Nothobranchius furzeri: one gene and its partner. The protein of the gene in region 1 interacts with the protein of each later gene in a pairwise test. Links are inferred from orthologs where the notes say so. Each region holds a gene or a part of one and is shown on either strand. Other genes may lie near its edges.

What was found.
Region 2: the proteins of rab11a (region 1) and rab3il1 interact in a two-hybrid assay, tested with the Homo sapiens proteins (2 studies listed by BioGRID and IntAct). The two-hybrid records come from large-scale screens. The link is inferred for Nothobranchius furzeri from reciprocal best matches to the Homo sapiens genes RAB11A and RAB3IL1.

What each region holds. Positions count from the first base shown.
Region 1 is NC_091749.1:66,767,013-66,773,308, forward strand, and holds the start of rab11a (ras-related protein Rab-11A), read right to left. Parts: upstream 3,775-6,296; 5' UTR 3,650-3,774; coding exon 3,610-3,649; intron 133-3,609; coding exon 1-132. Other genes in the region: SH2 domain-containing protein 7, read right to left, coding at 4,932-5,603. UniProt on the Homo sapiens protein: The small GTPases Rab are key regulators of intracellular membrane trafficking, from the formation of transport vesicles to their fusion with membranes.
Region 2 is NC_091744.1:65,009,504-65,015,057, reverse strand, and holds part of rab3il1 (guanine nucleotide exchange factor for Rab-3A), read left to right. Parts: intron 1-1,852; coding exon 1,853-2,036; intron 2,037-2,165; coding exon 2,166-2,261; intron 2,262-2,453; coding exon 2,454-2,531; intron 2,532-2,624; coding exon 2,625-2,861; intron 2,862-5,554. UniProt on the Homo sapiens protein: Guanine nucleotide exchange factor (GEF) which may activate RAB3A, a GTPase that regulates synaptic vesicle exocytosis. Promotes the exchange of GDP to GTP, converting inactive GDP-bound Rab proteins into their active GTP-bound form.

The DNA.
Region 1 (6,296 bases):
TGCCGTCCACCTGGATGCTACGCGTGGCGAACTCCACCCCGATGGTGCTCTTACTCTCCAGGTTGAACTCGTTACGAGTGAAGCGAGACAGCAGGTTACTCTTTCCTACACCCGAATCACCGATGAGGACCACTGAGGCAAAGCAGGACAAAGGAAACACATCAGACATCCTGAATCTAGAAAACCGCAGAAATAAAGATAAAAACAGTTTAAAGTCCAAGTAACAAGAATGAGGAGAAACTAATGGATGTCTATTTTATTTATGATGCAGGATTATTGGTGCTCCCTGACCCACTATCCTTAAAGAACCTTTAGAACAACATCAAGCATCCAGAACCCGGGAGCGGTTCTAGACCTTTCTGGCTCTGGTACAAAAGTTTCTATTATAGCCATTTATTTTAGGGGTGCACCAATCTATCGGCCCCAATCTCGGGTTCTTTTCAAGCCAATCATTGCTATAGAATAATTTTTGAACATGCGTGTGAAAACGGGTACAAAAGTTTTGTTTTCAAATTTTGAAAAATGAAAGTCTAAAGGAACAAATATGATTTTGTTGTTCAAACAGCAATGCTAAAGACGTTCATTTATGCTTGAAAGTAGGGATGCACCGATACGATACTGGTACCAATACCGATACCAGTATTGGTAAAAGTTAGCCGATACCAGGAACTGATACCAATGCAGTTGCTTGAAAATGGCTTCCCTGTAACTTGTCATTTCTGTTCACCTAATATTTTAGTTTTGTGATGATTTCCATTCATATATTTTACTTTTTATCTACTTCACAAACTTTTCCTGTTGAAAATCAAATCTGTATTCCAAATCATCGCATTTTTTTTGTTTGGTAGAAGTATCGGTATTGGTAATCGGGATCGGGGAGTACTCAGATCCAAGTATCGACATCGTATCGTTTTGGAAAAAAGTGGTATCATTGCATCCCTACTTGAGAGCATTACCTCATGTCCAGTTGAAAATGGTATTGTTTCATGAGTATTCATGTTGGTTTTCACAATAAAAGGAAATTGAAACATTGACATAATCTGCTTTTAGTTGAGACAAAAATCAGTATCAGCAAGTCTGTTTTTATTTTTTTCAAGATTGGTGAACAGTGATCAGCCAAAAACTGCAATTGGTGCACCCGTAATTTATTTATATTTTTTTATTTGTCTCTGGGCGTTTTTTACTCAATATTTTTTAAAGAGACAATTTGAAGTTTTTACCATAAATTTCAGGAAATATCCATCAAAATGTTGTTGAAAATGAATGAAATAATTCCCAGTTGTTGCTTTGTAACATATAACCATAAAAATCTGGTCTAAAATACATAGGAGCGGGATCGTTTTATCAGGATGTTAGGAGTCCCACCCCCTTGGCCCCGTCCACTGACAGGTGCCATGTTAAAGAGCAAGTCACCCCTACCAGAGTCTCACTCCACTCCCATTTCCTGTTTAAAAAATGCTGCTGCCTGGCAGACCGAAAGGGCAGAGCCGCTAACACACACACACACAGGCTCACATTGGCCGTGTTCAAGATGATCCAGTTCTGCGCAGATTCGATCACCGGTGATCGGCGCGCAGTGCATGCTGGTTAGATTTGTGTCTGACTTGACGCCGACTTGCTCTGATGTCATGCCTACGTAGGCAACGATAACCTCGTGAGATCAAGGCGGCCGCAGATTTTGGAGCAAGGCGCTGCAGTTGCTCTCCGCCGGTTGCAAAACCTAGGGCGTGACAGGAAACGCCTCGCTCTCACCTGATCTAAGATGACAACTATATAGGCCATAAAGAGAAATGTGATTTGTGTTTTTATTGTCACATTTCCTATGAGCACACTAAAACTCTACAGCTGCTAACCTTTACTTATTATTACTTCATATGCACATGTCAACATTACATGATATTGTCAGGATGTGTTTCAGTTGCTAACAAGCACCAGAACTTTAATTACAAATTAAACAAGTATGAATGAATGTGATATCTTTATCCATCATCACCTGCGAGCTACATGTAGGGAAATTTGATCATCTTAAGCCTGGTTCATGCTTCTCCGTCAGCTCCGCAAAGGACAGACACGCACGGATTGACGGAAGCGTTTTGCTCTCATACTTCTCCGTCTCCTGGAGAGTGTTGCAAAGCAATTCCCCAGCAGGACAACAGAGGACGTAGGCTGTTCTGTGGTATCCTGTCATGCATCCGGTCCAAGATGGTGTGTTTATATTATGTTTTTTTGTATATAAGAGACTTTTTAACAGACAAATTTGTCTCTCATTCTCCTCCACCTCTTCATGCGCTCGCCACCTCTAAACCCACGTTTCCTGTCATTTCCATCCACTAATAAAACGCTTGCTGCGCATCTTTTCACTCCTCCTGTCACTGGGGAATTAAACATTCATATTTTAGAGTTTTTTCGCGAGGTATTCTTCAAGCTGCTCCGTGTCTGCCACTAGTTATCCTCGGCTCTCTTTATGTTTTTGAGGGCGCAATGGCGGCGCTGTAGACAACAGCGGCGTCCTGACCAATCACAAGCTTGCGTTCTCCGTCTCGACTGACGGATGTTTAGAAAAGAGAGCTCGACTCCGTCCGTCCTCGCGGAGCTCTCTGACGTTGCGTGTCTCAGCACTGACGCAGATGGAGGAGCATGAATCAGGCATTAAACGCCGGCTTTCAGCCACTCCCCCTGCTGCATCCGTCTGCTTTCATCTGTTTTCCAAGCGAGGCGCTGCTCAACTCGAACAAGGCCAACAACATTGTGATCTCATAATGTACCAGCTGACATCATAGTGTACTTCTCAGCCAATAGCGATGGCAGATTTAAATTTGAATGCAGTGCAGAGTTTTTACCTGACAACATTGACAGTTTTAAGCAGAATATTTCAATTTTAACTAAGATGCACTAAAATAAATCGCTTGGGGGGGGGGTTGAAAAAGACAAATACAACCGTTTTACTTCTTATTCAGGAGTTATTTTAATGATACTTGATTATTTTATGTTCTCTTTGGTGATTCTGCTCCTTTCAGGATTTGGTGTTTTTATAAACTGATAAATGAAGTTAAAACTCTCGGGAAAACAGGAGGTTAGTGGAAGAAATGTGAGAATACGAAACCGGAAGCTCACGTGAGAGTGGAATATAAATAACCCACAGATGAACAACCTGATCAATAATCTGATATTAATAACCTGATCAATAAAGCAGTTAAGAGTTTTTCGTCCAGTTTCACCTCAGCTGGACCAGCCCGGTTCTGCCTCGGGCTCTGAATTTGCTGTTAAACGTCGTCTCGGGCCCGTTAACGGTGCTGCTGGCAGATCGGTCCGGATCGCATCAGGAGGATCTGATCATGTTAGGTCTAGGTGTGTCCCGCTGGCTGTCGGCAGGCTAACCCGAGCTAACCGCTATCCCGAACCAAGATGCGCTTTAGCACGAACAACAAGCACCGGATGAACAATTTCCTACCCGAACGAGTCAGACATGGTTCGTCGGGAGTTCGGAAAACCGATTCAACGCGCTGACTCACGTCAGAGAAGTTTGTTGAGACCCGAACACAAAAGGCTGACGGCGGTTCCGTTAGCTCCACCGCCTAGCCTGCCAAATAACAACAAACACCGCTTTACCTTTGAATAAATAGTCGTATTCATCATCTCTGGTGCCCATCGTCCCAACACTGGAGAGCGGGTCCAAAAATGATTTTGTTAAAACAGAAAAGACGAGATTTTACTGTCCGACGGGAATTAGATGGGAGATAGTTTCTTCTTCGCTGGAATCCTGACAGCGGAATGCAGCGGATACTCTGCCCCCCAGCGGCCACAGGACGGAGCGCAACCTGGAGGTGTGTGTACCGAAAATGCCAGCCGAGACATTTGCATGCATTGTTACGGGAACGCGCATATTGAGGAAGACATTAATTTGGAGGCCTTAAAACTCATAAATACATTATTTTTTCATTAAATGTAGAATACTGTATGCTCACCAAGTGTCAAATAAATAAAGTGATTTCAAACTTAAAAGTTATTTATTTTTAGGCATCAATACATTCATTAATAACAGTATAATTAGGCTATGAATAAAGTATAAAAATGATGCTAACCTGAGTGTTTATCTCTTCAGTTAGTTAAAGTGACCTGCACATCTCGCTGTAGCAGGGCAGCTGTGGCTACATTGTAGCTCACCATCACCAGCATGTGAATGTGTGTGTGCATGGGTGAATGGCTGGTTCGTTGTAAAGTGCCTTGGGGGGTTTTAGAATCCTAGAAGGCGCCACAGGCCATTTACCATTTTGCATAACTAAATCTCAACACTTCTAGGATGGAGGGGTTGAAGGGCTTCTGGGGCTAGTGTCCCATGTCCTTCAGTCCCAAAATAAACAATACAGATATTAAGCTCACTATAGTAGCCCAGCATAGCCTATACATGTGAACATGTAGGATAATGTCATTTGATCCACAAGAGTTTAATCTTCTAAGACATTGGTTCTCAATCCTGGTCTCCAAAGGGCGGTATCCATGTTTTCGTTGTTCCTCTATACTCTACATAATTCAGTGGTTGAATCACCTGTTCAGAAGCTCCTCAGGCTCCGTAAAAGCCTGTTAATCACCTGCTGATTACAACCAGGTGTGTTGAAGCAGGGAAACAACTAAATCATGCTGGCTATCGGGACCACCCCTGCTATAAGATAACAGGGAGGATTTTCTGGGCCTGCTGTAATTTGTGGTGGTCAGTATCCCCCTCTTTTCACCCCATAATTGATCATGCAGGTATGAATCTCACTCCAGGAGGCCTGTTTTTATTTTCATCTCTTAGAGATTCTGAATGAAGTCTCCTGACGTCAGGAGGAAGCCCCGAACTTGAGAAACTCCACAAGATATATTTATTTCTTTAAGAAGTTCCTCCATTTTATGTTCTGTAGAGACAAAATTATTTAAAAAAAAACGTCAGATTATTTATTTACTCTCTGTAATAAAAACCAGCACATGACGTTGCATCTTACATTTTTGCCCCAGGTGCTTTTGGGTTTCTTAGTCTTCATGTCCTCCAGAGACTCGTAGGTGTTGCTTTGGACTTCAGTGGCCTCTCCAGGGACCAGCTCATAGGTGTCTTCTGTCTGCGTAGTTGGTGCTGAACCCTTAGAAACCTCAGCGTACATGACACCCCGCCGCTGAGCTGCACTTTCTCCAGGTACCCTGGAGGGCTCGTACAGAGGGTTAGACCTCAGCTGGTCCTGGTTTCTGATCTGCTGCTCTGACATGAAACTTCTCAGATCTCCTTCGGGGGCGTGGAGGGAGTAGGTTTGACAGGTGACCCTTTTTGGAGAAGAAGGTGCTTGAAGGGAGAGGCTGCTTAACTGGTTGGAGTATGCCTCCTCCTCCTCCACTTTGGTGCCCAGGTAAGGCAGAGACTGGCTCCTGGTCTCCACCTGGGTCAGATCGGGACATTCCAATTCTAAAGGTCTAAACAAATCCCCATTGATCTTTTGAGTTGGGTTGGTTCTGAGTCTCTGAGCTTTGTTGGACTCAAACTGGGTTTCACTAGGATGTGGTGTCGTTTCAGGCAGAGATCCACTCAGGCTGAAGGCTGGAGGCATTCCCCTCTTTGGTACTGGAGGCAGAACCTGGAACACAACGTGGGGATTAGGGTCAGGTCAGAAACACAGGTATAGAAGATTTTTAAAAGGTATCTGATGTTTAGGTAAAGTGAGCCGTTTTCATGTTTGCTCTTTGCAGCGTACCAAATGGCCAAATATTTCATCTAAATGACCAGAAATGAACTTTTAACTTACAGACCAAACTTCTTCATACAGGTCTATCTGACACCGTGGTGCCGACATGAAGTCTATGTACGTCACGAGTCCTCATGGCTGCAGAGGATGCAGGACTTCTTATCTATCCTCTTTGAATTCAATTCAAGTTTATTTATATAGCGCCAATCACGACAAGAGTTGAATGAAGTTTATCTTCCCTGGCTCCAATGACTACATAAGTTTACAAGTTTTCATAATCATATTTTGTTGAATGGACAATATGTTTAAATCCAAAGTGTTTTAATAACATGTCTAATAATGAATGATGGGAAACATGGACGCAGAGCTCAGATTTGATTCTCAAGTAAATGGAATCGTGAGATCTCGCTATTTTCATCTCTGGCAGATAATGAAGATTAAGCCATTTCTGTCACGTAGCCATTTGGAAACTGTAATCCATGCCTTTGTTACCTGCAGGCTGGATTATTGCAACTCGCTATATGCGGGGCTTGGGCAAGCTCCAATAGCACGCCTCCAGGCAGTTTAGAACTCTGCAGCTCGGTT
Region 2 (5,554 bases), on another chromosome or scaffold:
ATAGCTGCTGCCTTCTGCACATCTTTAGATTGGATTATAGACTCTGGGACTGCTGGTTCTGTAAGGCTTTTGCCAGAGGAGCTGCTATTGTCACCGTGGCCGGGAGGACGGGATGGGTAGGCCTGGCACGTGGGAGTGGAGGAGGAGTCACGTGACTCTTAGGAGAGGAGGGCAAGAAGGAAAGAAGAAACTCGTCTTTTTGCTTCCTAGAAATAATAATGCAGAGAGAATGGACGGTTTCCCCGTGAGGTGTTGAGCCAAAGTGCGCTTTTATTAGTTTTTATGTAACTTTTTGCGGCCGCCGCTGCTGCTCTTTGTGTTGTTTACGTCAGCGTCCGCATTCCTCCGCTGTGATTTAAAACAGCTGGGATTAGTTTCACTGAAACCTGCTGACGTTTGCTCGCTTTGTGCGACTTTTATTCATTAAAAAATAACTTGGAGTCAAATTAAAGTGGAGAGGAGACGCTGAGGCACGGGGGAGCTTCATCTGCTGTCCGGGGCTCTGTCAGGGTAAGAAATAATAACATGTAAGGAAGGTTAAAGGCTTGGTCTGCGGAAAATACTGAGGACAACTAAGAACAGGAACTCACACAGTCTTACATGATTATTCTCTTTGGAAATTGATGTTGTCGAACCAAACAGTGGTTTGCGGTCTCTGCCAGGGCCTGCATTAGTTTGTAACTCATTAGTTAACACTGGTTTATTAGTGTATGCTAATGAACAAAAGCCTTTCAGATCACACTGTAGAGCAGAGTAAACAGAATAAATATGATGCATGGATGAGTCTTAACCGGGTCCTGGTGTTGTCTCACTGGAGACTCAATGGGACCTTTATGAGACTATTATGTCTTCTGTCACAAGCTGCAAGTCATGAGACTCCTAGTTAGACTCGTGTAAACATCTAGTGTTTTTCTTAAATGACAACAGATTAGGAATATAATTTCTGTGCCATAATCAACACTTTATAGATTAATTCACACCTTACTAAACTTACTTAATTCAGTAAAAGGCAGCTTCTGTAGACAGGCTAAATGTAGATCTACAATGCTGTGCATATTTGAGTGCTCCTTTTCTGTGGCCATCTCCAAGTTTAGGTCCTCCACCACCTCTCTTACTCATGGTGTCCCACAAGGTTCTGTGCTGGGGCCTCTGCTCTTCCTCCTCTATCTGCTCCCTCTTCAGCACATCCTGAGCTCCTTCAAAATAATCTCCTACCATCTTTATGCAGATGACATATCCAACTGTACACCTCCTTTAAGCCCCATGAGATGTCTAAGCTCCAGCTGTTACACACCTGCTTAGACTCTATTAAAACTTGGATGGCTGGGAGCTTTCTTCAGCTGAATGAAGATAAGACTGAGAAACTCATCTGTGCCCCAGACAAGCTGGTTCCCAAAGTCAGACTCTCTCTTGGTCAGCTTGCTTCTCACACCAAACCTTCCGTCAGGAATCTTAACATTTTTTCAAATCACAGTTGTCTATTTTTTGCTCATTTTAAATATATTTTAACCATTTTCTAAATTCTTTTTTATATTTTTACATTTTTTGTTTTTGTGAAGCGCCTCGTGATTTTATCTTGAGAGGCTATAGAAATGATATTCTCTTCTTCTTTTCTTGGTCTTATCATTTTTTAAGTTTGATTATGTTTAAATGTATTTTATTTATTTTTTCAAACCATTTTATTTCCTGAAAATGTTCAGTTATAGAAAATCATAACAAGTGAAAGATATATATATATATATATATATATATATATATATATATATATATATATATATATATATATATATATACATACATACATACATTCATACATACAAGGATTTAGAAAATATTTTGTGCTCTTGTAAAGGTTGGTAGATCTGGAGCCAGAGCCAGAGTCCAGAGTGGAGGGAGGACGCCAGGTTGGGCCCGCCTCAGACAGACCTCATGGCGATCTGTGCCGGCTCCGCAGTTCCTCGTTGGAGATTAAAGAAAAAGAAATAAGAGAAAAGGGGTCAGAGATCCTGAGGGAACAGCTGGATGCGGCGAAGAAGGTATCAGTAACCTACTTCATTGTTGTACGCACAGAGAGACCGTCACGCTGTGAAAGTGGAGAAAAGCTGACTGTGCAGAAGTTCTTCCTTTTATAAAACGTGTTTGTCGTTTCCTCCTTCGCATCATAGGAACTGAAACTCAAAGATAAGGAGTGTGAACGTCTGTCTCAAGTCAGGAATCAGCTGGAGCAGGAGCTGGAGGAGCTGACTGCCAGCCTGTTTGAGGTCAGCGGTAATCACACAGCTGAGTTGATTCCTCTGGGTCCTTCAGAGGAGGACGTAGAAGCTCTGTTCACAAAGGCTCTGGGATTTAGCCGGGCCTTTGGGGATGTAGTTACATAACCATGATCGTAAAGATGGATTCTAGGTGTTACGTTTATTAGATCTTTAATGTTTGTTTTATATTTTTTTTACCAGGAAGCTCATAAAATGGTGCGTGAAGCTAATGTGAAACAAGCAGGAGCAGAGAAACAGCTGAAGGAAGCTCAAGGGAAGGTGTGTTTTCCATTAATTTTCTTTATTCCAGTCAAATCGGTTTCCCAGTTTCCCTCTGCGTCTAACTGTAGCCCTCCTTTGTTTGGTTGCTAGATTGACGTTCTGCAAGCCGAGGTGACCGCACTCAAAATTCTGGTGTTGACGTCCACGCCTTCCTCACCTAACCGCCAGCTGCACCCACAGCTGCAGTCTTCAGGCACCCGGGGAGCGCATAAATGTGGCGGGGGCCACGTCCGCAACAAGAGCATCAGCAGAGCCTTTCAGAGCTCATCTGGAAAACCAGAACCTTCCTCTGTTTCTATTCAGTCTGCGGGTAAAGAGGAGCGGGAGGTAACGTGGATCCAAACACTTCTTCTGACTTCTTCCTTTTCCCGCTTTGCGCTGAGCTGATTTCTCTTTGTGTCCCCGCTAACTTCTCTCTGACTTCCTGTTTCTGATGACTCTCAGCCCACTGGTCCCGCTCTGCTCTCTCTGATTTTCTGCCTGTTACCATGCCAGTCTGTCACTATGAAGTTTGACCCTCTTTGGCGTGAGCTCAAGTAAACAGGTAGTTACTCCTCTTTCAGCCATGTCTCATAAATATTTTACATGTAATAACAGTTCATCAGCCTGTGTTAACCAAACTCACTGGTAACATTCAGCTCTGAAACATGCTGTGGCTGTATGATGAGCACACTTTAATTTTTTTGTTTGATCATTTGGTAGTCCCAGTAACATCTGGTTCTTCAGCAAAACAACTCTTATTTTGAAAAGAACAGTGTTTAATTTTGAATAGTGGATGAGAACATCCACTGTAGAGTCTGTGTGTCTCAGTTATCAGCAGCAGCATATTTCAGTCACAGCTCTGGCTACAAAACTGGCCACTAAAACAAAAAATAACAAACCAGTAAAGAGCAGAGTTGTGTGATCGTATGACTACAACAAAAACAGAGACAGCAGTTGAGAATAAAAAAAAACAAGGCTACAGAATACTGATCTATCAGTTGAAAGTCCCAATTTGACATCAAAGTGTCTAATCCCAGAGAACATAGAGAAGCTGAAGCCCTAAACCTACCAAACATCAGATTAACACCATGAAGGTGGTTAAAAAAAAGAGTGGATGATGTTTTTCTGGAGCATTTTTGGTCACATAGCTTGAAATGCTCCTTACTGATGGCAAACAATCAATTTTGTTTAGTAAAAAATGAAAATATTTAAAGGTGTGGTTGACTGCAAACATTTTTTCTGATTATAATCAGTCACTCTGAGTTTGTCATGCAGGCTGAACATGAAAATAGTCTCCTCCACCTGTCTCCTGCAGTCGCTGTTGTTGTTTTAATATCCGTGAATCAGCAGCGGACTTCTCAGCTAGTTTAAACTAACTGTTAGCATTAGCAGCTTCACCACACAGCAGAAGCTCATCCAGGCTTGAGTTATTTGTAGAGATAAAGGGTTAAGGGGTGGATCAACCATGTGAGTGTCTATGATTTCAAAGTTGAGAATAAATCAAGAAAGCTAAAAACTGCCTTGATTTTCACCATAAAACACCAGACTAGCATACTAAATAGTTCAACGGTTGGGAAGGTGCGTTACGTTTGGAATCATGGCAGAAAAGGTGCTAACCATGGGTCAAAAAGGACAGATACGTTTATGTTTGACGGTATTTGTTGTGTCCGGTGTTTGACCATCTTCTGTGGCCATCAGATTCTGTGACTCTGGGGGGAGCCAGAAGAAAGTGTTTGACCCTAAAATTGCTTCTTTTTTCCTCCTAAATGTAGCTATTTTGAATGGCTTTTTCCATCAACGTCCACTGCACCTGCAGCACTGAGACTGATGTCAGAATCCATTAAGTCCACCAGTAACATTCCAGACTGAGCTATCCTACAAATATGCTGTAATATGAGTAAAGCAAAGTAACCTGACGTGGGTCTGAGTAGATCGGTGTGATTGTTTTTTAGGGTGGATAGATGAAGCATGACTTTTAGCTCCGAGTGGGAAACAAAGCATAACTAATTCTGGTGCTGCTATTTTAACAAGGTCCACCCTGTTCTGAGGCACATCAGCGTTATTTGATAAACTTTAAGTTCTGCTTCACACATCTTTGTTCTAGAGCAGAACATTTAGGAGAAATGACACCTCTAGATACAGATTACTGTATTCAAGGGCAAACTGTCCAAGCCTGAAGTCTCAGATTGGAAAACTTCGAACTGATTTGTTAAAAGGACTTTTCTTCTCAGACTTTCCTTATCTACAGTGTGCCTGAAGGTTGTTACTGATCCCTCTTGTAGGATAAAATCTCTCCACGTTGTTAAAATGCTGCAGTAACTTAAAGGGACATTATGGAAGTTTGACAGTCAAAACATGTATAGAAATAATGAATTTCTTCTTCATACATTCTCCTGCAATGCCCTGGTCCTGTAGAATGAGCCCTGGCATTTTTGCTGTGATTGCCTGTTTTTCTGTAAAATCACAGAAAAAGAGAGATGCTCGGGTCGAGCAGGCTGCTTCATGCACGTTCACGCTCAGTCATAGCCCGTAGCATTTGCTATCCGTAGCTTTAATAGCAGAGAGAGAGGTAGTGCCAACTCAGCGACTTTGTCGCTGTTCCTAACGCCTAGTGATGAACCTAGCTACATTTCTGAGGACCCTTAGCTACTTTCTGTAGAACTAACTTCTAGATATTTCCCGCAAATTAACAACAAAATAGCCATTTTCGCTCCGAACCGTTCTGTGGATTGACTTTGTTTCAACTTTCATTAAGGATATAAATGTTACAGATACACAGTATGTTACTGGTGCTTTAGCTCACTTAGTAAGATGTCTGACTCATGTAGGAGACCTGGGTTTGATTCCGGGTGTGAATAAAATTTGTAATTTGGAGTTTCGTTTTTACATTAATAATTTTTTTACAGTAATAAGACGCCCAAATTTTTATTTGAGACTCGCTAAACGGCATTGAATTCACGGATAAAAAGATGTGGGTTCAACTTTCATTTTGGAACAATTTTTCAAGCAAGGGAAGGGAATGATCTGAGCATGCAGGA